Lonchura striata: one gene and its partners. The protein of the gene in region 3 interacts with the protein of the main gene of each other region in a pairwise test. Links are inferred from orthologs where the notes say so. Each region holds a gene or a part of one and is shown on either strand. Other genes may lie near its edges. The genes, in order: MOB3C, WDR4 and FAM118A.

Region 1 (7,641 bases), on a different chromosome or scaffold from region 3:
GATCACCAAAGAAAACTTTTGGCTTTGACCCCAAATAAGCTTTAGTTAGAAAACCAGCAGGAAGGATCAGACAGATGCACTGCCAGACTCCAGAGTGATGCTCACAGTCCTGCTCCCTGCATCAGTGTCCCAAATTTTAAAACTGATCTCCCTGCCCGGGCTCCCTTTATGGGCTGCAACAGCAAAGGCTTCAGGGGAAAAGGTGTCTGGGAAGGACTAACAACCATGAAGGATAAGGAGAGAGGAAAGCTCTGGCACCAGCACCTCCCATGCTCCAGTGCCAAGTGCATCTTCCCTGGATCCATCCCGAGACAGAAGCATCTGCCTGGAAACTGCTGCATTAGCAGCACACTCCAAGCCTCGTGGGCAGTGTGACCACTGGGGAGCACAACGAGGGGTACAGCACTGTGGGCAACCTGCAGAGAGACTCCAGCTCCCACTGCTTTGGGAAGAGGCCAAGGAGGCAGAGCACAGACCTGTCCAGCTTCAGGCACATTAGAGCAAAGTGTAGGTTAATTACTACCAGCTCTGCACATCCCCCTTGGGCTTCCCCAGGGAATCTTGCCTTTGGGGCACCCAGATATTTACTGTCTCTGTGTTTTAGGGGATTCCCTTCTCCCCACCACAGGCACTGTCAAAGTCCCACCCAGCCCTATCCCAGATGGAGGAGAAGGACAGCATCAGCTCAGCCCCATGTGCCAGAGCCCTGAGACAGCCAGCCAGCCACCAGATGGACAGTCTGCCCAGAAACCTGCAGGCCCCAGCTGGCTTTTCACTGCACTAGGAAGCCTCACTGCGTGGCTGAGGAGTCAGTAGCCCTGTCTCTGAGCTTCTCTTCAAGCCCCAAATAAGTCCAGATGCAGTTTGGTCTTCAGCCTGTCCTAGAGCATCTCTGCAACCAGGGCTGCTTCTTGGGATTCATGTCCCAAAGACTTCTCCCAGGCAACCCTGAACTGCAGACACTGCAGCCCTGAGCCAGGGAGGGACTGTGGGCAAATGGTGTTTCCAGGGAAGGCAGCATATTCCCTCTTTTTATAAGCCTTTCCAGCCTTGTAATAATCTAAGGAAGGGGGGCTGCAGAAGGAGGGTGCTGGGGAGCAGAGTCTGGGGCACTGGCCCCACTCCCTCTGTGCCTCTTGCTGGAGCCAAGCCCCAGCTGGGCTGTCCGTGAGAAACGGGGTTGTTGGCTGCTCATCCCAAATATAACCTAAACGATAGAAAATTCCAGGAAATGAGCCAAGACAAAATGCTGGGAGGGGGATCAAGAACCAGCACATAGGCTGGGGGAGCTTCAGAGAAGCCCTGGGCTCTCAGCAGAATCTCCCTGCCAAACCTTCCTTGTACAAACTCCCCTGGTGCCGCAGAGACCCTTGAGAGCATCCATGAGCACAAATCCCTGGAGCAGAGCAGGACTCAGGCTCCGACACTCCAGCTGGGGCCAGCTGCCAGCGGGAAGCTGTGCTGGAGCTTCCCCCAACTCACATGGTGCTTGGAAATCCCCAGCTCGTGAGAAATGGACCCAGATGGCTTCCAGGAACGGGACTGCTCACACCCGCCCTACAGATGTCCCCTGCTGTCCCCCTGCTCTGTCCTGCTCCTTGCCCTGCCTCCCTGCCACACCACCAGCACAGCAGCAGCTCTGGCCCAAAGGCAACAAAAAAGGTTTTCCTGTATCACACAAGACACACCCAAGCAGAAAAGCAAAGCAGCATCTCTCCAGGTTAGAGGCAGCATGTCCTTTTCATTTTAGCCATGATATCCAGAGGGGCTGGGGGCTTTTTGGGGGTACCTCATTCCTGGGAGCTGAGACCTCACTGCTACTAGCAGTAACTTGCTGCGAGCCCTGAAGTGTCCAATGGCCTCAGTGGTGTCCAAGAGCTCTGATTCAGTCCCAAGGGTGATTACTCTGTTGTCAGGCCATAATTCCAAACACCGGGTGCTCCAGGCCTGCGAGCTCAAGGAAGAAGGCGAGAGGAGATAAGAAAACCCATCTCCACCGCTTGTTCTCACCCAGTCCCTCCGCCCACAACTTTCCACCTTCCCTCCGACACCGGCGAAGCCGCTGCGGGCGCTGTCCCGTTCGGGAAACGCGTGTGCTGCCTTCCCCTGCCTGTCCCCCTTCCCTGCCCGGAGGGACCCCCTTTCCCTTTCCCTGCGCACCGCCGGTCATTCGCACGGATCCCTACCCCCCGAACAGGGGATCTCTGGTATTTACACACTGGCTGCTGAGCCGGGACGCCCCAGAGGAAGGGGAAGAGCCTTCTGCAGGCGTCCATGGCCCGGCTGGGTGAAGAATTGCTCTTTTCTAGGCTAATGCCAACCCAGGTCTTGCCCGTCCCGCGCTTAAAAGCACCCCAGGAGCATCCTCAGGAGTGCGGTGCTGGCTTTTTACCCCCCAGGACTCACCTCATCCCCCGGCACGGTGGCTTCCAGTCTCAAATCCCTCCTCTGCACTCTCTGCTCTTATTCAGGAAAAAGGAAAAATAAAATTTAAAAGATACAAAGTCCAAGCCAGGCTCTCTGTCGGGACTATTGTCAGTTTGGAGATGGCAGCAGCAAGAGCGGCAGGGAGAACTGCCTCGCTCCAGCGCTCACGGGGGTTTCGTTAGAGAAGCCGGGGCCGAGGGTTTTTCTCCGGTCAGTGATGTCACATCCTGACCCTGCCGGCAGCTCCAGCTGTCCCTGGAAAACCCGCCTGGAAGCGGGCCTGCCAGCCCCCACCATCGGCCGCCGTGGCTCGCAGGCTCCTGGGTGGGCACTCACTCACACCCGCACCCACGCTCCATTCCTGGATGCTGAGATCCTTCTTGGCGTGCAGTCCCGTGCCGCTGGCTGGCTCCGGCTTTCACAGGACAGCGGGGAGCTGGGGAAAGGAGATGAAATCCCGGAGTCTTTTCCCCTCCTCCCCCCATCTTTTCACAGTCCCTCTCCCTTTATCCTTCCCCGCTCTGCACACCCACAAAAACAGCCGGGGGTTTCCATGCCAGGCTAAGCTGGATGCCATCCAAAACAGAAATGCCGGAGAAAGGAAAAGAAAGAGAAAAACTTTCTCTGCCCAGAGCACTTACTTTCCGTTTCTGTCGGAGGTGGGGTGAGTTCTGAAGCGCGCTGCGGTATTTAAATCCTGCTCAGCAAAGGCAAGCCCGAGCCAGCACGCTCGGCGCCGGCAGGAGCGGCCAGCCAGCGTGGGATGGCTTGGCAGGAGCCGGGATGTGCTCTGGGGTCGGAGTCCCGGGTGGGGCTGGAACACCGGCGTGCACCCCACGGGGGATGCCGGCGGGTGTCGCAGCAGGCGGAGGCAGAGCGTGGCCCTGTCACTCACGGTCCCTTCCTGGCTCGGTGACGTGTCGCTCCCAGGGGATGACATGTGTGATGCTCTGGCCTTAGTGAAACGTCTGCAAATTGTTTGGCAGCAGGACAGTTCTAGTGAGGGAAACGTTTCTAGTCTTTCGTACACGCGTGTTAAACCCGGGTCAAGCCAAGCGTTTGCAGGTGATGGGGCGAGCTGGGGAGTGCGGCACAGGGCAAGCAGGATGTGGCTGATGGACACGTTGGCATAAAGCTGGAGGGTTCAGGATGAGGGGCTGAGTCCCTGAACCCTGCCTGGCAGCAGGATGCATCTCTGCAGGATCCAGACTCCTTCCCCCAGAACACAGCTTCTCAGCTGCAGGTGATGCCAGGGTTTGCTTTTAAGGCACAATGTTCAGAGGCAGTCTTTAAAAATAAATTGATCCAGCAGCCTCCCAGACCAGCCAGCTACAAGGGAGTTCAGCCCAGCCCTGCAAGGCATTTACTCTCCTTTCCTCCCTTTCTCTGTGAGGTTGGTTTGGTGCAGGTACAATAGGAACTCTTTGGCACTGTAGGGCCCATTTATTTGGGCAGCAGCCATTGGTGGATCAGTTTTGACTGGAGCTGAAAGGAGTTGGAGCTTGCACACCCGAGAAGCCCCTTGCTTTTCTGCCTGTCCCCACTTGGGACATGGCTGAGGGCCAGGTCCTGAACCAGGTGACAGGAGAAGGACACACCAAGGACATGCAGGATTCTGTGCTCTGCATCCACTACAGCATGAGATGGCTGAGGTGTCTCATATTTGTAGAAAAGGTAAAACCGTGAGGTTAAGTGCCCTGCACAGCTCTTGAGGCAGGAGGGAAGCACAAGCTGTGAAATTCATCTGTCCAGCTGCTTCCCACCACCACTGTCACCAGCTAAGCCAGTACAACAGCCATAACCTCAGAGCTCAGCTCTGTGTGTGCATCCTCCCTGGACCTGCAGGCTGAGCCTTTTCCACACCAGCCTTGTCCTGCTCATGAGTGAATTTCTCACAGCCATTGCAGGTAGCCTCAGGTCCAAGTAACATCCCTAAAATCAGGATCAAGCTCAAGTAATCCAGCAGACTCTTCCTGGTTACCACCAAACCAGCCACATTCCTGACTCCAGCAGGTTCAGGCAAAGTCTTTTCTCATCCCCAGTGCTGGATGCTCATTACAGCCACCCCAAGTCCCAGCAAGGGCTGAGCAATGCTGCTGTCCTCCATCCTGGGGACTTGGGATGCAGGAAACAACAAAATGCCCTGAGACCTTGTGAGCGGGAAGTGGAGGTCTGTGAAGTAGATGTAACTCCCAACAGCAAATGCCAAGCCAGGAGGAAACTTTCAGCTGAAATCACTGCAGAAAATGGGAAGAAATCCAAAAGTAAGGGGGCTTGGCTGAATAGCAAAGATCCCAAAGGCAACTCATAGCCAGGATTTACATCCAGGCAAGATGGAGCCAAAATCCATGCAAGATGGGGTCCTCCCACCCTCAGCAGTCTGGAGCCAAAAGAGAGGGGCCAGGAAAGCAGCAGGAGGGCTGGAGTTACATCAGCTGCAGCCCCACAAGTCCACAGGGGTGAGCAGCACCTCCTGCTCAGGGACTTGCTCCCTCACGTGAGGTTTTGGAAACCTCAAAAAGCCCAGTCCCAGAGCTACCCAGTATCCCAGCTGTGGGGAGGGGAAGCAGGAGTCCCTTGGGAGAGAGGAAAAGGTATGAGGAACAGCTTTGGGGAAGGAGGGATGTGTTATTGTGACGAGGGCATTTGTCTTCCCTGGAGGAAGGAAGAGGGGAATGCTGGCCTCGCTCCTGAAGGCAGGTGCATGGCTGGATTTATCCGGGGAAGGAAGCAGGGCGGAAGCGAGCCCGGAGCACTGGCGGCTCCAGCGGAGCTCAGGGGCAGGCACGGGAAGGGGCCCAGGGCAGTGAAGCAGCTTTGCGAGGCTCGTCAGGACACGGAGGGGGAGCCCCTGCCAGCCCCACCGCTGCGCTGGGCTCTCACACAATGCCCTGCACGGCACCTCATGGGCACTGCCGCTCCAGCAGCTGGGGAGATGCTTGTTCCCAGACTGGGCTGGAAGGCTGTGAATGCCTGTGCAGACCAGAAGACAAAGCAAAGGCAGCAGTGGGTTTGCTCTGGTTATTCCCAGAGAGAAACAGGACGTGTCCAGAAAACAGCTATGCAGCGTTGGGAACAGTCAGTTCCCCTGCTCTGCTCTGCTCCACCATGTCCTGCGCAAACTCAGAGAAAGGGAGTGAGAACAGCCGTGGGTCAGAGGGCACTGGAGTCTTGCCATTTTCTAAGGCACAGGGAAAAAAGCCAGGCACAGATGAAAAAGCACTGGAGTCATCATTTTAAGGGAGGGTAAGAACTTAATCTATCAATCTGCACTTCCTTGATTGCTTTGACTGCCACCTCCTCCCTTGGGAGCCGTACTGACTCTGGCTTTATCTCCCCAGGGTGATGGGGGCAGGTAGGCAAGCCAGAGGTTTGGGATGCTGGTAACAATGAGCCTTTGCCTGCAAAACTTGCACCACCACTCCCAGCAGGAATTCCTGCCACATCCCATCCTGGGCTCTCCTCCAGCTGGAGACAGACCACAGCACTGAGGGGGCTCCTACAGCACCTCGCTGCAGGATGCTGCAGGGGCTGAAGCTTACACGGGGCCACTGGGAGTCTTGGGCTTCTTCGCCCTGAACGTGCCCATTTGACGGCTAGTAAAACCAGCCACATCCATCTTGGGATGGTGCTGGCCCAAAAAAGACTGGCAATCAGCAAAACATGCTGCGAAACTACTGCAGAATGTTTGCCCTCCCGAGGCAGCTCAGGTAGGATCTAGGACATGGGTCTGGTGGAACCGTGAGCTGAACTCAGCGCAGCCCAGCTCGTTATGGACCATACAGAAGCAGCCTGAGCATCTGTATGGTTCTCGGCACACAACTCACAAAGTTTACGAAACTGAGCAGACAGGCCGAAACAAGCTGTGTGTGTGCCCAGAGCTCAGAATCAGGAGACAACCCTTCCCTCTAGTGGCTGGATGGCACATGAATCCCACAGCCACCTTCTCCCTCTGTTACCTCTCTCCCCATGATCAGCACAGATCCTAAGGGCATCAAATCTTACAAATTCTATGTGACTTTTTAGTGGGTTAAAACAGGTGCAGCTGCTGATTTGCACAAAGCCAGACAGCCCCGGGGGTCTGTGTCCACTCTGCAGCTTGTAGTGCCCATCCATGCCCATGGTCAGCCTGTGCCATGGCTGTGCCAGGCAGCACAGCTCATGCACAAATGCATCCCAGGCACTGGAGAAGCCACACATCACCGCTGGTTTCTGCAGCAAGGGTGGCTTGTAGGGCCAGTTCTTCAGCTGGGTTACTCCTCGTTGCAGCAGTCATTCAGTGGGACAGAGGATTAGATTCTGCTGGACCTTTTTATCATCCCAGTTTTAAGCTCGTCACTGGCCATTTCTGCCTTTTTTAAAACCCTGGAGAAGTTCTTATTTTAGGAAAAAAATTACATGATGGGTTTAGGAAAAAAACACCACTCAAAACTACAGGTAGATCACTACAGCCTTATACCTGAGAATTTGATCTTTTATGCTCAGAAAGAGGCTGAGGTGTAGATTTGGAAGCCTTATATTTCACTCTCGGGGATGTTACATTATAGCTAGATTAAAAATGAATGCAGCAACTTTGACTTTTTCAAAGTAGGAAGTGAATTATTAATCAAAACAGCCCTTCTATCAGCTAAGGAAAAATGATAAATGGAGCATGAAGGCCATAAACCAGAAGTAGAAATGCCTTTTAATAAAGGTGATTTGCTGTTCAGATTATCACAGTTCTATGCAAGCCTCCCATGATTCATTATTCACCTGCTCTGCACACACTCAGTGAACAGTAGCCAAAAGACATTACCAGGGACCAAGGACATCTCCTCTCAGCCAGGCCCCAAGAGAAGCTCTGCCTCTTCTAGAAACATCCTCTGCCATTCCTAAATGGACAGGACTTCACACCTAAGAGTTGGTGGTAAAACAGAGCTCAACAAAAAAACTGCACTGTGTAGCTTTAGTGCTCAGCTGAAGTGTTCATGTCATAAAATCAGAGAATGGGCTGGGTTGGAAGGGACTTTCAAAGGTCATGTAATGCAAAGAAGGGGCTGAGAATTACAGCGTGACAGTGGGCATTACAGCAACGGGCTCCTACAACTACACAGCAAAAAGATGCTGTAAGAAACCTTCATAACTCATCACAGCTTCTTATCAGGTTGTGGTTAATGAAGAAAATTGACACCAGCCACACCCTCCTACAGAGAGACAAACTGCAGATCCTTCTTT
Region 2 (7,839 bases), on a different chromosome or scaffold from region 3:
GAGGGAATTAAAAAAAAAAAAAAAAAAGAAAGGAAGCTAAGTAGTAACAAATATCAACATCCCAAATACTCCCATTTTAGATCTGTAAATGCAGAAGTCCATAACAGCATGCACCATCCTGCTTCCTTACCTGACACTAACACATTCCCAGGAAGGCTTTGTACGGAACAGAATCAGGCGTTTGTTGTCATCTGTCAAGGCAAAATAACCTCCTGATGGGGAGAAGGCAAAGGCCAGGATGTCATCACTTCCTTTATCTGTCCCTTTTCCATCCTGCCTAATAGAGAGAAGGAACCAACAGTTCACAACCTGATAGCTACTAAATTCCCTCAGGGAGTTGTTCCCAAACCACCCAGGAGCATAAAGAACAAAGTAAACTTTAAACAGTTTTATTTCTGCTTAGAATGTTGAACCAACCCAGACATTAGTGCAAAAAAATAAGCCAAGACAAAGGAAATTGACAGGTCAAAGCCTGTTTAGAAAACAAAAGTTTGTGCTGGCACATCTTGATATAAATTATGAAGTATAAACATATATATGAGGTATAAATATATATAAAAATTATAAGTTATTTCTCTATGAGGAAACCAGTAAAATGTTTCCTGTTTGGCTACAAGTAAAACAATATCCAGTGGTTGAATCTAATCTATGAAAAACACTTTTTTGTGTGTGTGTTTTGAATTCTCATGACTTACAGAACAGATCTGGAGAAGAACTTATTTAAGAACTTTGTGGATATTATTGGTCTTAGATGTCTAACAAAGAATGCAGGACTTTTCCACAAATGTCTTGACTGACAAGAGACAGAATTACTGATTTTGATTTTGCCACTGCTATTTTTTTTTTTTTAGAAAAAAAAGAGAAGAAAGGTGCACAGTGGAATGAAACTCTGGATGAAACAGAAACAAAAACCAGATCCATACATAACCATCAGGGTTAGCAAAACCAACCCTTCACCTGCTCAAGGAGTCATCCTGTGGGTTTTTGGCTGCCTCCACAGCCACACAAGCTCAGAGATGCACCCTCCAGGAAAAGAGCAGATTTTCTCACCCTTTCTCTCCTAAGGGTTGCTTCTCTGCACTGCTGCAATCATACACGAAGAGACTCTCATCACTGCAAGGGAAAAACAAACCTAAAATTACTGCACTAGAACAACCAGCAGCTTTACCTATGGAAAATAGCAACTGTTTAGTAGGATTCTCTTATTTTAGTTATTGGGCACAACTGCCTCCCATCTTGAGAACCACCTCTACCCAAGTGGTCTCCCAGAGTGCTACAGATGTGGCAAAGGCTTAAAATTTTGGACTGTGACATGTCAAAAAGGAAATTCTTCCCTGCTGGTGCAGTAACCCTGTATTTTGCATAAATTTTATTTCTGTCACTCTCAGCAAATCTGTCAGTAGCATTTACCCAGTCACAGAATCACAGGACTGGTGAGATTGGATGGGACTACAGTGGGTCAGCTGGTCCAACCTCCCTGCTTGAGGAGGGTCACCCCAGAGCACACAGCACAGGACTGTGCCCAGACAGTTCTGGAGTATCTCTGGAGAGGGAGACTCCACACCCTCACTGCACAATCTGATCCAGTGCTCAGTCACTGCACAATAAAAAAGTTCTTCCTCATGCTCAGGTGGAACTTCCAGGGCATCAGTTTTGTCCCTTGCCTCTTGTCCACTGCTGGGCACCACGGAGCAGAGCCTGGCCCATGCTCTGACATCTCCCTTCAGACACCACACAGAACTTCAGCATCATTCAGGTTGGAAAAGACCTCTGGAGATCACCCAGTCCAACTCCCTGCCCAGGAAAGCTCCCCTGGAACAGTGACACAGGAACGTGTCCAGATGGCTCTGGAATGTTACCAGAGAGGGAGACTCCACTCCCCCCCTGGCCAGTTGTTCCAGAGCTCTGCCACCTCCATGGAAAGAAATTCTTCCTTGTGTTGAGGTGGAACTTCTTGTGTTTTATTTTATGGCCATTGCTCCTCATCCTGCCACTGGGCAACAGGAGATGCAAAGAGCCTGGCACCATCCATTTGGCAACCACCTTGGAGATATTTATATGCACCTTCCTTATGGACATAAAATAGACCATTATTACATATGTGTGTGTATATATATATGTAGTATACATTCTAGGCATTTATACGTATTTGTATACATATGTATTTATATACATATATATATATATATATATATAAAATAATCTTGTATACACTCTAGGCATTTACAGTTTTATGCATGTTAGACATATACATGTAATACATGTGCTATATACACATTACATATATACATATATATGCTATATATATACCTATGTTTTCCATAAGATATGTATACATATAGACTGTTATAGATATAAAACACATGTATGTATATAACATATATGCATGTATATAGCATATACATAGATATAACATATACATAGATATAACATATACGTATATATGTGTGCTTACATAAATATGGAGTGTATATATATAAAATATATAAAAAATATAAAAAATATATTTAAAAATATATAATATATATAATATACACTATATAAAATATTGTATATATATTATTTATATTTTATATATATAGTGTGCATATATCGATATATATTCTCTATGCTATATATAGCCCAACTGGGGGAGCACAACCGTGACAGAAAACCGGCAAGGCTACAAAGTTGCAAAGTGGCATTTCCGTCCCAGAACACGCGGACACGGCGCTGGGAAAGGCACGAACCTGCGCAGGGCCGGCGGCTCCCTCGCTGCCCCAGCACCTCCCCTCACCCCACACGGGGCCCTGCGAGCCCCCTCAGGAGGCGCCAGGCGGCCTCCGCCGCTCGGGCCCGCCGTGCCGCGCACTGACCCGCAGCGCCCCGGCCCCGCACGCCCCGCACTGACCCGCTGTGGCCCGGCCGCGCCGCCAGCAGCCGCCCCCCGGCGCTCGCCACGGCCGCGGCCCCGCGCAGCGCCAGCGCCGGGCGGGCCCCGGGGCTGCGCCCGCCGCCATCGCCGCCCGCCATGCGCCCGCGCCGCCGCGTGACGTCACCGCGTGGCGTCGCCGCGTGACGTCACCGCCCACCGCCAGCCCGCGGGGGCGCCCTGAGGGCTCCGGGCAAGATGGCGGCGGCCGCGGCGCTGAGGGGCGGCGGGAGGGCGCTGAGCCGCGAGGTAAAGGGGCTCCTCCGGGGGCTTCCTGCTCCCGCACGCCCTCCGCTGTAGGGGTTTCCTCCCGCTGTGTTAACTCTTTTATTGCAGGTGTTGCAGTTGGAGGCGAGGGGGCTCTGCACGAAGCCGGTGGGCACCGGGACGGCGCCGCCAAAGAGTAAGAGGGTGGTTTGGGTGTGAAGGGTGTCGGGGTGTCAGTAAAAGGAATGGGGCAGGGGAGATGGCGAAGAGTCAGGCCTCGCAAGAGGCGCTGCATAAGCTGAGAAAAGCAAGGACTGAAAGGTCATCGCCATGTAAACGAGAGTTTCTGATAAAATGTACCTTGTAGTAATAAAAGTAAAGGTCTGGCTGTGTGCGTTATATTTATAAGTCATATATACACATATATACATACATAGTTTTATATTTATGAACTTGTCACTTCTTTCCTGTGTTCCTTCATGTTAATATTCAAGGCCGGGCTGCATAACTCAGCTGTTCAACCTGTAGGAGGGCGAATGGCTTCAAACTGAAAGAAATTAGGGTTAGATCAGATATCAGGAAAAAATTGTTTACTGCGAGGGTGGTGAGGCCCTGGCACAGATTGCTCAGAGAAGCTGTGGATGTCCCATCCTTGGAAATGTTCTTAATGACGTGCAAAATATAATTCTTAACTTTAGATGTTCACCTTGTCTTTTGAAACGTTTGTGTTATCAGGATTAAAAAATAGAAGGACTGAGATAGAGAAGGACTTCCAAAATCCAAATATCCCAAATAGCAGCTCCAGGCAGCAGTGTAAGAAGCTGCCATGGCCCTGTGTGTTAAATTTGGTAATAATGCTTCTTGCCCCATAGATCTGCAAGCCTGGGTTTGGATGCTGCCCTGCATCCCGCATTGAGGAGTATTTGAACCCCATTTACCCCTGACCAAAGGCAATATAAATTTCAGAGATTGATGTCTTGTTTGTATAAATGGAGGCTTAGTGGTTCAGTGAGGTTTCCTGTCCCAAATTAGAGATCCAGGTGCTGAAACAGGAAAGCTCCATGGAACCATATGTAGGAACCATCAGATTTGTTGACTGCTGTTGAAAAGATCACTGAAAGAGCAGTTGAAGTCAGACTTTTGCCACCTTCTTAAATGCCAAAGCAAATAAAACCTGGCTGAGGAAGCTTTCACTGCATAGATTGATTGAACAGCAAGTTGCTTTTTATTATGATTTATTTTTTTACATTAAGTGTATTTGAGATGCACTTTAGTATCAGTTTCTGGGTTCACTGTCCTGCAGCTCTGATTTGTCTCAGAAGCCCTTTTAGGCCAGCTGCAAACACCCCAGGTTAATTAAGATTTATAGGGTGCAGTGCCTTTGCCAGATTCTGCCTGGAACAGGATGTGCAAATTCTCCTTGCTTTGATAAAGTGGTCGTGTTTACATACAGAGCCAATGATGGGAAATAGGCCTGTAATTTCTGCCTGTCACCTCTCTGAGTGTGATCAGCCTTTAAATACATGCTGGGAATGATGCTGATGTTCCAAGCATCAGGAAGAACACATCTGGGAATGGTGTTTCTTGATTTGGAGGTGGTGTTCTTTTGGCAAAGTGATGCAGGTACAGATTAGCTGGTGCAAAGTTTGAAATACCCTAATTAAAGTGGATCAGTTGTATTGGATGTTTCAGCTTTTAATCATAATATCTATCTTTTTCACTTATCCAAACTTAACTGTTTAAAATATTATTCCAGTAACTAATGGACAAGTTGAATTTTCCCTGCCTTCTTGATTTCTTAGGATGTTTTAACATTAATACTTCTTCAGGTTTTGCTCAGCTTTCCCTTGTCTATGCTCCCTTTGGCCATTCTTGTGTTAGTTTAACCTCTGCTGTGCCTCTCTGAAGAGCTCTTCCATCCTGACACTTCCTCACGTGTTAGTTTCTCCAGGCTGCTGTTTGGCTGGGTCAGTCTGTGCAGGGAGTCAGACCTCTTCCAAAGGTGGCTGCCCATCCTCCTGCCTCCCCCTGCCCTTCCTTCCCATCCTGCACCTTCCATCTGGCAGAGAGAAGTATGTGCTTGAAATTATTCAAAATACTACTTGTGAACTTGATACATTTTTTTTTCATTGTATTTTGTTGTGATAAAAACTCTGTGTTTCTTCCTTAAATACTTTGCTTTTGTTTTCGTGTGCTTGTCTCTTCTGTGATGTTTTCATTTAGACATTGCTAAAGACTTGCTTCTGTTCAGAACTAATGGTAATAACTCCTTAAATCATACAAGGTATTACCATAAAATACCAGTGAGCTGAATTTAGTTTATGGGCATATAAAGTAGATCTGGATTTCCAAACTTTGCAGAAAAATCTGTATAATGGGCTGGAAATCTGTTGAATTTTACTGCTGGTTGGAAGTGATGCAACTTGTAATGGAGTTGGCTTTGATATAGCAAATTTCAGCCATGGTGAATCTTCTTAATGTGCTTCCAGTCCTCCTTGACATCCTGTTTTCTGTAACCACAACAGTATTTGCTGTTGCTCAGCCTCCTGAGGATGATAATAAGCACCCAAGGGATATTATGTATTCCCTGGAAGGACCTGAAAATTGCTGCCTTCTCCTTCAACTGTTGGTTCCTTGTCTGGAGAGTTTAGCTTAATGCAGGTGTCCACGAGGGAGAAGAAACTGAGAAACAAATGTGAAGCATCAGGAGATCTTCTAAGACCTCTTTAACAAAGAGGTCTTGAACAAAATAGGAAGTGAAGCCTGGAGGAGATGAGGTCTTGGGGAAATAGTGTTGAGCTCTGGGGGCACACCTCAGCTAGCAGCTCATGTGGGCAGTGAACAAGTAATAAATACTTGGATGGCCTCAGGTATCTCTTATTCTGCTGCTTTTCCTTTTGGGAGTCATCCCTCCCTTCGCCTTCCAGGATAACTCTTGCAAGCAGCTGTGGCTCTTTACTGTGTCTCTGCTTCTGCTTGTTCACAGACCAGTGTTGACACTGCAGCAGCACTTGAAAAGCTTGGCTGACAAGCCATCCTGATGCTCACCTGAGACAGGAAAGTGTCTGCAGACCTTTTCCAGTGCTGCAGAGTTGAAGCACAGGGAAAACCAGCTCTTGGAGGGGTCTGGCAAAGTGAGGAACATAAGGGTTTATCTCTTGAGTTTCAGCATTGCAGCAGCAAAAACTGTTATGTGCTAGTAGAACTCCAGCTCCTTTTACTTAAAAAGTCTAAAAACTTCCTGCTTTGCAATGCCTGTATTTAGCATTATAATTGCTTTTAGTTTATTTTTGTACCAGATTATCTTAGAAAGTTAAAACTGTTTGACTAAGATCAGTAATAGTGATGTCAGATACAATGATGATAATCCTCTTTATGCCGTTTCCTAGATGTAGTGGCACCACAGGGAAGCACCAAGCTGCTTGCCATGAAGGCACCAGTTGAATTTCGTAAAATGTTGTCTTCTAGCTCTCTCCTGCTGTCTGCAGACAAAGGTGAGAGCATTTCTAGTACCACCCTCAAGGAAGCTGCAAAGCCTGCTGAAGACACAAGGATGCCCATATCAAGAAAAACTGAGGTTGCGTTTCCTCAGCGAGGAGGAGTTGCTTCCTCCCATGAGGAGGAAAAACTCACCACACCTGCAGCAGGAAGAGGCCTGAGGAAAGAGTTAGCTGAGGAACAGACTTCATCCAGCTCAGAGTCAGATTCTAGCTCAGATTCAGAGGATGAAAATGTTGATGATTCACAAGTTGCTGTTAAAACTAAAGTTGAGTTTCCCAGACGAGATGCCATCTTTTCTGAGAACATAGCAGTAAAGGCATCAATGCTGGCAAAAGAGAAATTGTCCCAGAAATCCCTCAAAGAATACGGAATTAAGAAGCTGCCACGCAAACCAGAAATTAATGTGTCTCCTGTGAAGCAGGTCAAATTTTCTAAAACATCAGTCAGCCAGGAAACATCAAAATCCAAAGCAAGAGACCCCAAAGTAAAATCCCCTCCAAAAGAACGGAAGTTGGTGTTAGAACCACATGTGCTGAAAAGTCTGAACCTGACAGAGGTCGCTCGTAAATCTGATCATGTGGAGGAAAAGTCCATTGGAACCCAGGTAGCAGCTATTCAGCTGAAAGCCTCAGCAGTGACTCAGGAAGATAAAAAGCAAGATCTGCTATCCAGAGGAGCGAAGGAAAAGATGAAGGAGGCACAAGAGTTGGAAGCAAAACAAGTAACTTCTCCTAAAGTGGAAGAGATTTCTGGAAGCACAGTGTTGGCGATGGGCACCACAGCAAGGGAGGAGACCATGCAGGAATCAGAAGTCCAGGCTGGAGAAAGCAGCACAATTGAGGGTACAGCTTTAAATTGTTTGAACAGTATTAATTCATCTGGGCTAGGGTTTGACATTTTTAAAGGGTTTCCACATCTTCTCTGATCTTTGTACTGAAGCTGGCAGAGTGGCAGTGACTTTCTGGAAGATAAATTGTTCGTTGCTAATTGTTATAATCTGTCAGTAATACTCAATCTCCAGCTATGCTATGAAAGGAAGTGGTTTCATTTCTCTGTATTTATAGTTTCATAAAACAGTTACTTATAAAATGGAAACAAGATTGTTTCCACTGTGAGCAAAATCATGAGTTTTATATGACAACACTTGTTTTCATTCTTCTCTTTTTTTGGAAGGATTTGGTAGCTGCCATTCTTATGAGTCAAATTTGGTGCCATCTCAT
Region 3 (7,408 bases):
ACTGATGCTGACTTCACAGGAATTGCAAAAGACTACACCCCAGATCAGGAGTTTGCAGAACTATTTAAGCTGCAGGAGAGATCACATTAGCAAACTGTGTTTTGGCAAAACAAAGGTTTGTTTACTGGAAAATGGATGAGGCTTGGCCATTCCATAGCTTTATTCTGCAGCTGCACAGTGCCCATCAGCACACTGAGTGCCACAGCCAGAGTGACTGAGCATCACTGTGCAGGTCACAGGTTCCTGTCCTCAGGTCTTCCTTGGGCTGCAGTTTCAGAGAATTCCAACATCTTCACCTCTGTCTCTGCACTGCATTCTGCACTCATGTGCTGGCTCCCTCTCCTATAAGCTCTCAGTTTCTTGATCTGTAGCTGTGCTCTAAGCTTGTTAAAGTTCATGCCTGGGTAGAAGAAGGAGCCACCGCACCACAAAAAAGCCACCAAGCAGGAGAAAATCCATCTTATTATTTAATACCACGGCTGATCTGTTCTAACAGAACAGAGTAACACCTCTACTTTTGTTCCTCCTTCATACAGTTTTTATTTATGAAATTATTTTGGCCAACATTTTAAATTTCTGATTTCTGACAAACAAAAAGGAGCTTTTTGCCAGTTCATCAGCAAGTTCATACAATATTATTCCCAAAGTTCATTTCCCTGACCTAGTTAAGTTCTTTAACAATAACAACTTTTTCAAGCAGAATTTGAGTATTTGCAACTTCCTGTCTGGCTTTCTCTCTCCCCATTCTTTACAGTAGTATGTTTGATTTAAATCCATTCCTTCCAGGCTTCAGAATGTTTTATTTCCTTTTACCTTCTTTCTTGCTCTCTCTCTTTTTTTTTTTCCTCTTTTGTTTTGTTTTGCTCCCTTTTTCCATTGGAGTTCTGCCTCTCCACGGTGGTTTTCCTTACTTTCCCACTGCTGCACACATAGCTGCTGTTCAGAACACATAAGGACCTTGTGACAGAGCTTCTTTGTTGTTTTGTTTTGGTTTTTTTCTTTGGTCAGAAAAATGTGCAATACAAACTCTGATCGAAGGACACCCCACTTAGTTACACTCCCTAGTTTTTCAAAGCAAACTCATGAATTCAGACTTCTTTATAAACAAGTTCAAACTGAAGTCAAGGTCAGAAAGAGGGCAGTTAAGGAGCTTGTTTCCCCTCTCATTTACTCTTTTAATATGTGCTTTTTTTGCATGTGACTGTACTGAAATGATCACACTTTCAATGTTGCTAAAAGAAGGCAGGTGCAAAGTAACTCAAAACTTTATGGTAATTGCACTCTGTTATGTAAGAGGTTACTGTAGGGAGATCTGGTTGGTGCAGATGTCCTTAACACTTGGCAGCTTTAAAAATATACCTGCAGTTACATCCAGAGTGATTTTAACAGATCATGTCACTCTGCAGGGCATACACACAGTGCTGATGCAAGTCAAAGGTTATCTTTGAAAATTAATCTTTACTTCAATCATGGGTAAACCAACTGAACTGACACTGGCTTTTGAAAACATACTTTGAATTTCTGAAAGCATCTTTCTTCTTCACAGTATTTTATAAACGATTCAAAAATACCTAGAATTTACTATTTTATTCCAGGAATAAAATTTACAATTTTGTTGTGGTAAAACTATTCCAGTAAAATCCAGTCACCTCCAAGTTAGAAAAGAGTAATCCCCTAACAAGAAGGAACTGGCAGTCCCATTGTGCAAGAAATTTTATCTCAGTCAATAGGGACAGAGTGGATTCCTGCTGTGGAAAAAATAAGGCACATGTTAGTTGGTGTCTTAAAGGTACTTTTTAGCAAGCTCGATAAGCTTTCATTATGAGCTTTCCATGGTTTCTTTCAAACCAGCAGGTTCTGGCATAATTAGTCTTGGATTTACTTTATTGTAACTTCTCAAAGATGTCAAACATGTAATGTAATCAACACTACATCTCAGTTCATAGAACCACAGCTGAATAAGTGGATGCATTGCTACTTGCAGCCAAAACCAGCCAGCTGCATTTCTTAGCCTGATTACAGACTTTCAAGTGTTATTTCCAAAGCTGGCAACAAACCCCCAAACAAGCAACTGACTTGATGTGTTTAGTGCACTTAGACAAACAGATTTACTATGAGAGATAAATCTGAGGTTTAATCAAATGTTGAACTGGTGTAGTTGTTTCTTTTAACTGTGTGTTTTACCGCTCAGACATCCTTGATTGCCTTTCTTTGTTGCTTCTTGCAATAAACTCCTTCATTTTTCAAAGTTCACAGGCTTCAACTCACTTCAAAATTCTTTTTCACTGCGACTTTTGCTCCTGAGCTTTCTGCCACTTATAATAGTGCTGGCCTGTCACTGTCATTTTTAATTGCTCACATTTTAAAATAGTAACATGGAAATTAATGAACAATAATACATTGTTATTTCTTATTGTACATTTGGAAAAGTATCTAAGCCTCTTTTGATTGTACTTTATGTAGTTACTTTTGTACTGTGTATGGTTGGAAAATATTGGTATTCTTTGTCCTTAGTAACTTTCCAACTCCTTGCAGGTGAATCCAGAGCTTATGAAATGCACTTGCTAGGGTTTTAAAATAATAGTGCAGTTTAAGGATATGAAAGGAGCAAGGCTTAGAGGAAAAGGTAACAACACCAGATTAATTGATTCAGACTGAAAAATGGAAGTGCTTTCAAAGGCCTCCCTTCACAAAAATTTCCTCTTATATGTCTTTTTAAATGAATGTAAAGTGAAGAATATTAGGCATTGTAAACCTACAGGACGGGCCAGAAGTTGAGTCTCAAGCTCAGACAAATATTTAGCAAGTCTTTGTAATTCCTGTATACAACTGAAAAAATATTCTAGGATACACAACAAATTCCTTAGTGATACATTCCAGCATTAGTACAATATAGAGTCAAATAGCATTCCAAACTGGATTTCACACATAGTTGCTGTGTTTAGGGAGAAGAAAATCACCTAGTTCTTTTAAAACACAGTGTCTTTGACCTTGAGGTTTACAGAGCCTTCAATATCAGCACGTTGAATTTCCTTGCTGCCTGACCGGCAGCAGTGAAGGGTGAAAGGCAAAGAGCTGGAAATGCTGCAACTCAATCACATCTCAGTTTCCAGGTGAGGCTACTTGTATTCTTCCTTCTCCCTCCCTGTTCTCCCTGCTCCTACCCTCCATCTTCCTTGTCCTAGGAGTACAATTCTCCAAATACTTGTTAAGCCTTTATAGAGGCTGCAATATAGTAATACAAGAATAATTACAAAGCGAAAACAGTGTCTAGGGAATATAACACAGACAGTTCACAAGGACACAGTGTTCTTCCACAGATAGAAGGTCAGTGATTTCACAGTGGTCAACACAACTGTTCCTGCCAAAACACTGGATATGGAGTAAAAACTGTGCTTATGTGTCATCTTCAAAACTGCTTCAAAGGGCGGTGGGACTGCTGATGGAAAAAATGCTGCAACTTGAGCTAAATATTGTTAACTAAACACCAGAATAAACCATGCTGAAGGGCCTGGAAGTTTTTACATTGGAAGTTTTTTACACTCTGGCTTTAAGATATTAAAAGTTAAAAAAAATAAAACCAACCCAAGTGTGAAAAACACCAAAAACACCAATCACTTGGTTTTTAAAATTTTAAAAGCTTAATAATAATAATATGGTTATAAAAATAGTGATACTATTACAGCAACAAAATTTTAGAGTTAGGACAATTACAAGACAATAAAAAGCAATGCATCATGGACGTCTGGATGTTTTTGGACACTAAGCTGCCAAAACCATGCCTTGTGAACAGAGGAATAACCCTTAAAAGCAATAGCCTGTTGCATATTCATATATCTCATACATGATGTATAAATTCCTTGCAAATTAAGAATTTTATTCTGGTTTTTGTCAACTCCTGCTCCTTAAAACTGGTGGTTCCATAAAGAGGGAGAGAAGGTGAAGGAATGTTTTTTCTGATAAGGAAGCTATAAATCTTCAGGGTTCGTGTCGCTGTTATCTCTGTGCGAATAATTTCTTCATTATCTCATCTCTTTCTTGAGCTAGTTAAAAAGCATCTTACATAGCATAGTTTCTACTTTAACAGTATGTTATAACCTAAAAAAACATATTCAACACGTCGCTTGAGAGAATTAATACAGCACAACTATCTAACGTTACACACACAAGCATTCATCGCAACGTTTGCCAACAGCAAAATATGCGGTTTTCACACCAAAAAAAAAAAAAAAAACCAAACACCAAAAAACACCAAAAACAACATCAAAAAAATCAAACAAAAAATCACACACACAAAAAAAAAAAAAAAAGAAAAGGAAAAAGAAAAAGAAAAAAGAAAAAAGAAAAACCCCCACAGCATCACGCCTGACGCTGCCCCGCCCGCCCCCGCCGTGCCCTCAGCAGAGCCGTCCCAGGTAACGCTGCCGACCGCGCTTTTCAAAAATCTCGTTTTGTTTTGCATTTTCCCCGCCGCAATGTTTTTCCTCACCAGCACGTCCATCGCCAGCCCGTTTTCAGAGCGCTACCTGGTAAACCTGCGGGTTTCCAGGCGCCTTCTCCCGCAGCGCCGCCCCAGCCCCGTGCCGGGCGCTCCTGCCCTCAGGGCTTGCAGCGCCGCTCCCGGGCCGGGACCCGGGCACCCTCCCGGGGCTTCGAGCGGACCGGCCAGGCCAGGAGCGGCTCTGGCCGCAATCTGCCTTTCGGAGCTGCCGGAACCTCGGCGGCCAGGCGGCTGTTTCCCGGCGGCGGGAGCCTGGAGCCCGTCCGGGTCGCTGCCGGAAGCCGGCGGGGAACGGGGAGCGGCGGCGGTGCCGCCCGGTGACTGCTGCGGCTCGGCTCCGGCTCCCCGTCCTGCTCTGCTCGCGCTCCTGGTCCTGCTCCGGCTCCTGCCCTGCTCTGCTCCCGCTCCTGGTCCTGCTCCGGCTCCTGCCCTGCTCCGGCTCCTGCTCCTTCTTCTGTTCCTGCTGTGCTCCTGCTCCTTCTTCTGTTCCTGCTCTGCTCCTTCTTCTGTTCCTGCTCTGCTCCTTCTTCTGTTCCTGCTCCGGCTCCTGCCCTGCTCCGGCTCCTGCTCCTTCTTCTGTTCCTGCTGTGCTCCTGCTCCTTCTTCTGTTCCTGCTCTGCTCCTGCCCTGCTCCTGCTCTGCTCCTTCTTCTGTTCCTGCTCTGCTCCTGCTCTGCTCCTGCCCTGCTCCTTCTTCTGTTCCTCCTCTGCTCCTTCTTCTGTTCCTGCTCCGGCTCCTGCCCTGCTCCGGCTCCTGCTCCTTCTTCTGTTCCTGCTGTGCTCCTGCTCCTTCTTCTGTTCCTGCTGTGCTCCTGCCCTGCTCTGCTCCTGCTTCTTCTTCTGTTCCTGCTCTGCTCCTGCTCCTTCTTCTGTTCCTGCTCTGCTCCTGCCCTGCTCTGCTCCTGCTCCTTCTTCTGTTCCTGCTCTGCTCCTGCCCTGCTCCTGCCCTGCTCCTTCTTCTGTTCCTGCCGTGCTCCTGCTCCGCTCCCGCTCCTGTTCCTCCCCTGCTCTCGCTTCGTCGAGTCAGCCCGCTGACCTGGAGTTTCAGTCGGTGAATAGAGCTCTTATTTCGCCCGTAAAACCGGAGTGTGTTGAGCAGGACAGATGCGAGATTAGAAGTTTTTTGCCGTGTCCCCTCGTTGCGCTGGGAGTGAGGAGCCAGCTCCCATCGCCGGGCATCCCTGGGTCACGGCGGGCTCCCGCTGCCAGCCCTTGTTGGGAAGCAGCTGAGCAGAGCTGCGGGCAGCCCCGAGGATGCTCCGGAGCTGCTGGCCGTGCTCGGAGCACGGGGAGATCTGAGCTCCATCCTCCTCTGCGAGGAGCGGGGATCCCTCTGCCCTGCCCGGCTGCGCCTTCCAGGAGCGACTTCAGCAGCTCAAAGGAAGCAGCGAGGTCTGAAATGTTCGTATGGACAGCAGCCCGTGGTGAGATGTTCTTATTAAACGTGGGGAGGTGTAATTAATAAAGCTTTCATGAATGGTATTGTAAATGCAAGCGAACCCAATGGGAAGAAATTACGATGTCTGACTCAATTCATAGGGCTGAATTATTTCTTTATTATAACTGCTTGTTTCCAAATTACCCTCTAGCACATGAATGTGAGAGCTGGCAACTATCTTAGGAGCCCTAGGCTCTGGCACAATGTTTATTTGAGGGACTAGGGACTGCAGTTTGCCATCACCATCACCAAAAACTGTCTCAAAGCCAAACAAAAATTGCATCCTCATAAAAAATTAAATGTAACGAAATTTGGGGGTTTCTAAGTAATGATCCCAAAGCCAGTTCTCCTGGCAAGACAGAGTCTTTCTTGTACTTCAGACATAAGACATAATAGATGATACAGTAGTAAGTTATTTTTTTCTCAGCAAGTATTTTAAATAAAATCTCTCATACCCTGCAGTCCGGTCATGTAGCTAGGTGGCTCTCAGAAGGCTTTTTGTGAGCAGGTGGGATGTGGAAGTCTGGTTTTCCACAAACTGTATTGAATAAATTGATTCTTATGAAAAAAATAAAACCATGAAACTCATTAATTGACTTGAAATGACTTGTAGTTTTAAGTGTGATAAATTTTATCCTGAATTTAGGCACAAGTATTTTTTAGCTGCATGAACAGCTGCATCTCTATTACCTCTGTCCTATGGCATTTGGAAGCTTAACTGGAGTGTGCTGGGTTCGCACACTTGTCCTTTGGCAGGTTTGTTTCCATCACTGTCTTGCTTCACTGGGATGAATGACACATGGATGAGTGACACATGGAGCCTTGATATTACAACAGTTGGTAGGAATAAAGAGAAAAAAAAATCAACAGTAATAAATCTGATTTTGGTTTTGGCTTTTTCTAGGATAGAAGCAGTAAGAATTATTTTGCCTTTTGTTTTATTCAGGGCTCAGAGATGGATTCACCAGAAGGGGCCACCATTAGAAGTGAGCAAAAATTCAGGTAACTTGTATTAGAGTTGATACAGAACTGTCTCTTAATGAAAATCTGACACCACAGTGGAAATAAACTACTGAATATTGAATACAAGAGCAACATCATGCCAGAAAACATGAAATTATCCCAGAAGCTAGTTTCTTCCCTGACCAAGTACTTCATGCTCACTCAAGTTGTTTATGAGGAGGAAACAATTTGGGCTAAATGTACCAGGGAGGCATGGGGCCATCAAACATATTTTATTTGTAGGCACTAGCTGACAGCCATACCTACATGTTTATTGCTTTGCCTGAGGCCATTTCAAGTTGAACACTATAGTTTGATCCAAATAAAGTTTGGAATGATTGTGAAATAAGATGTGTTAATCATCTTTATTACCATGTTACCAGGAACTGAAAATCTGTAAAGGTAGTTTGGTAAGTCAAGAGGAGTTCTGAGTTTCTGTACTACTGAAATCTTTGTTTGTACAGAGTG

The links.
Region 1: the proteins of FAM118A (region 3) and MOB3C interact in binary tests that used the Homo sapiens proteins (3 or more experiments, as listed by UniProt). The link is inferred for Lonchura striata from reciprocal best matches to the Homo sapiens genes FAM118A and MOB3C.
Region 2: the proteins of FAM118A (region 3) and WDR4 interact in binary tests that used the Homo sapiens proteins (3 or more experiments, as listed by UniProt). The two-hybrid records come from large-scale screens. The link is inferred for Lonchura striata from reciprocal best matches to the Homo sapiens genes FAM118A and WDR4.

The regions. Positions count from the first base shown.
Region 1 is NC_134611.1:12,503,364-12,511,004, reverse strand, and holds the start of MOB3C (MOB kinase activator 3C), read right to left. Parts: upstream 3,082-7,641; 5' UTR 3,069-3,081; intron 2,864-3,068; 5' UTR 2,776-2,863; intron 2,642-2,775; exon of another isoform or gene 2,458-2,641; 5' UTR 2,407-2,457; intron 1,955-2,406; exon of another isoform or gene 1,948-1,954; 5' UTR 1,790-1,947; intron 1-1,789. UniProt on the Homo sapiens protein: May regulate the activity of kinases.
Region 2 is NC_134604.1:112,210,521-112,218,359, reverse strand, and holds the start of WDR4 (tRNA (guanine-N(7)-)-methyltransferase non-catalytic subunit WDR4), read right to left. Parts: upstream 3,013-7,839; coding exon 2,891-3,012; intron 1,114-2,890; coding exon 1,051-1,113; intron 278-1,050; coding exon 131-277; intron 1-130. Other genes in the region: NDUFV3 (NADH dehydrogenase [ubiquinone] flavoprotein 3, mitochondrial), read left to right, coding at 3,110-3,160, 3,248-3,314, 6,508-7,461. UniProt on the Homo sapiens protein: Non-catalytic component of the METTL1-WDR4 methyltransferase complex required for the formation of N(7)-methylguanine in a subset of RNA species, such as tRNAs, mRNAs and microRNAs (miRNAs).
Region 3 is NC_134607.1:5,729,162-5,736,569, reverse strand, and holds the start of FAM118A (protein FAM118A), read left to right. Parts: upstream 1-4,392; 5' UTR 4,393-4,415; intron 4,416-5,670; exon of another isoform or gene 5,671-5,924; intron 5,925-6,884; 5' UTR 6,885-6,893; coding exon 6,894-6,940; intron 6,941-7,408.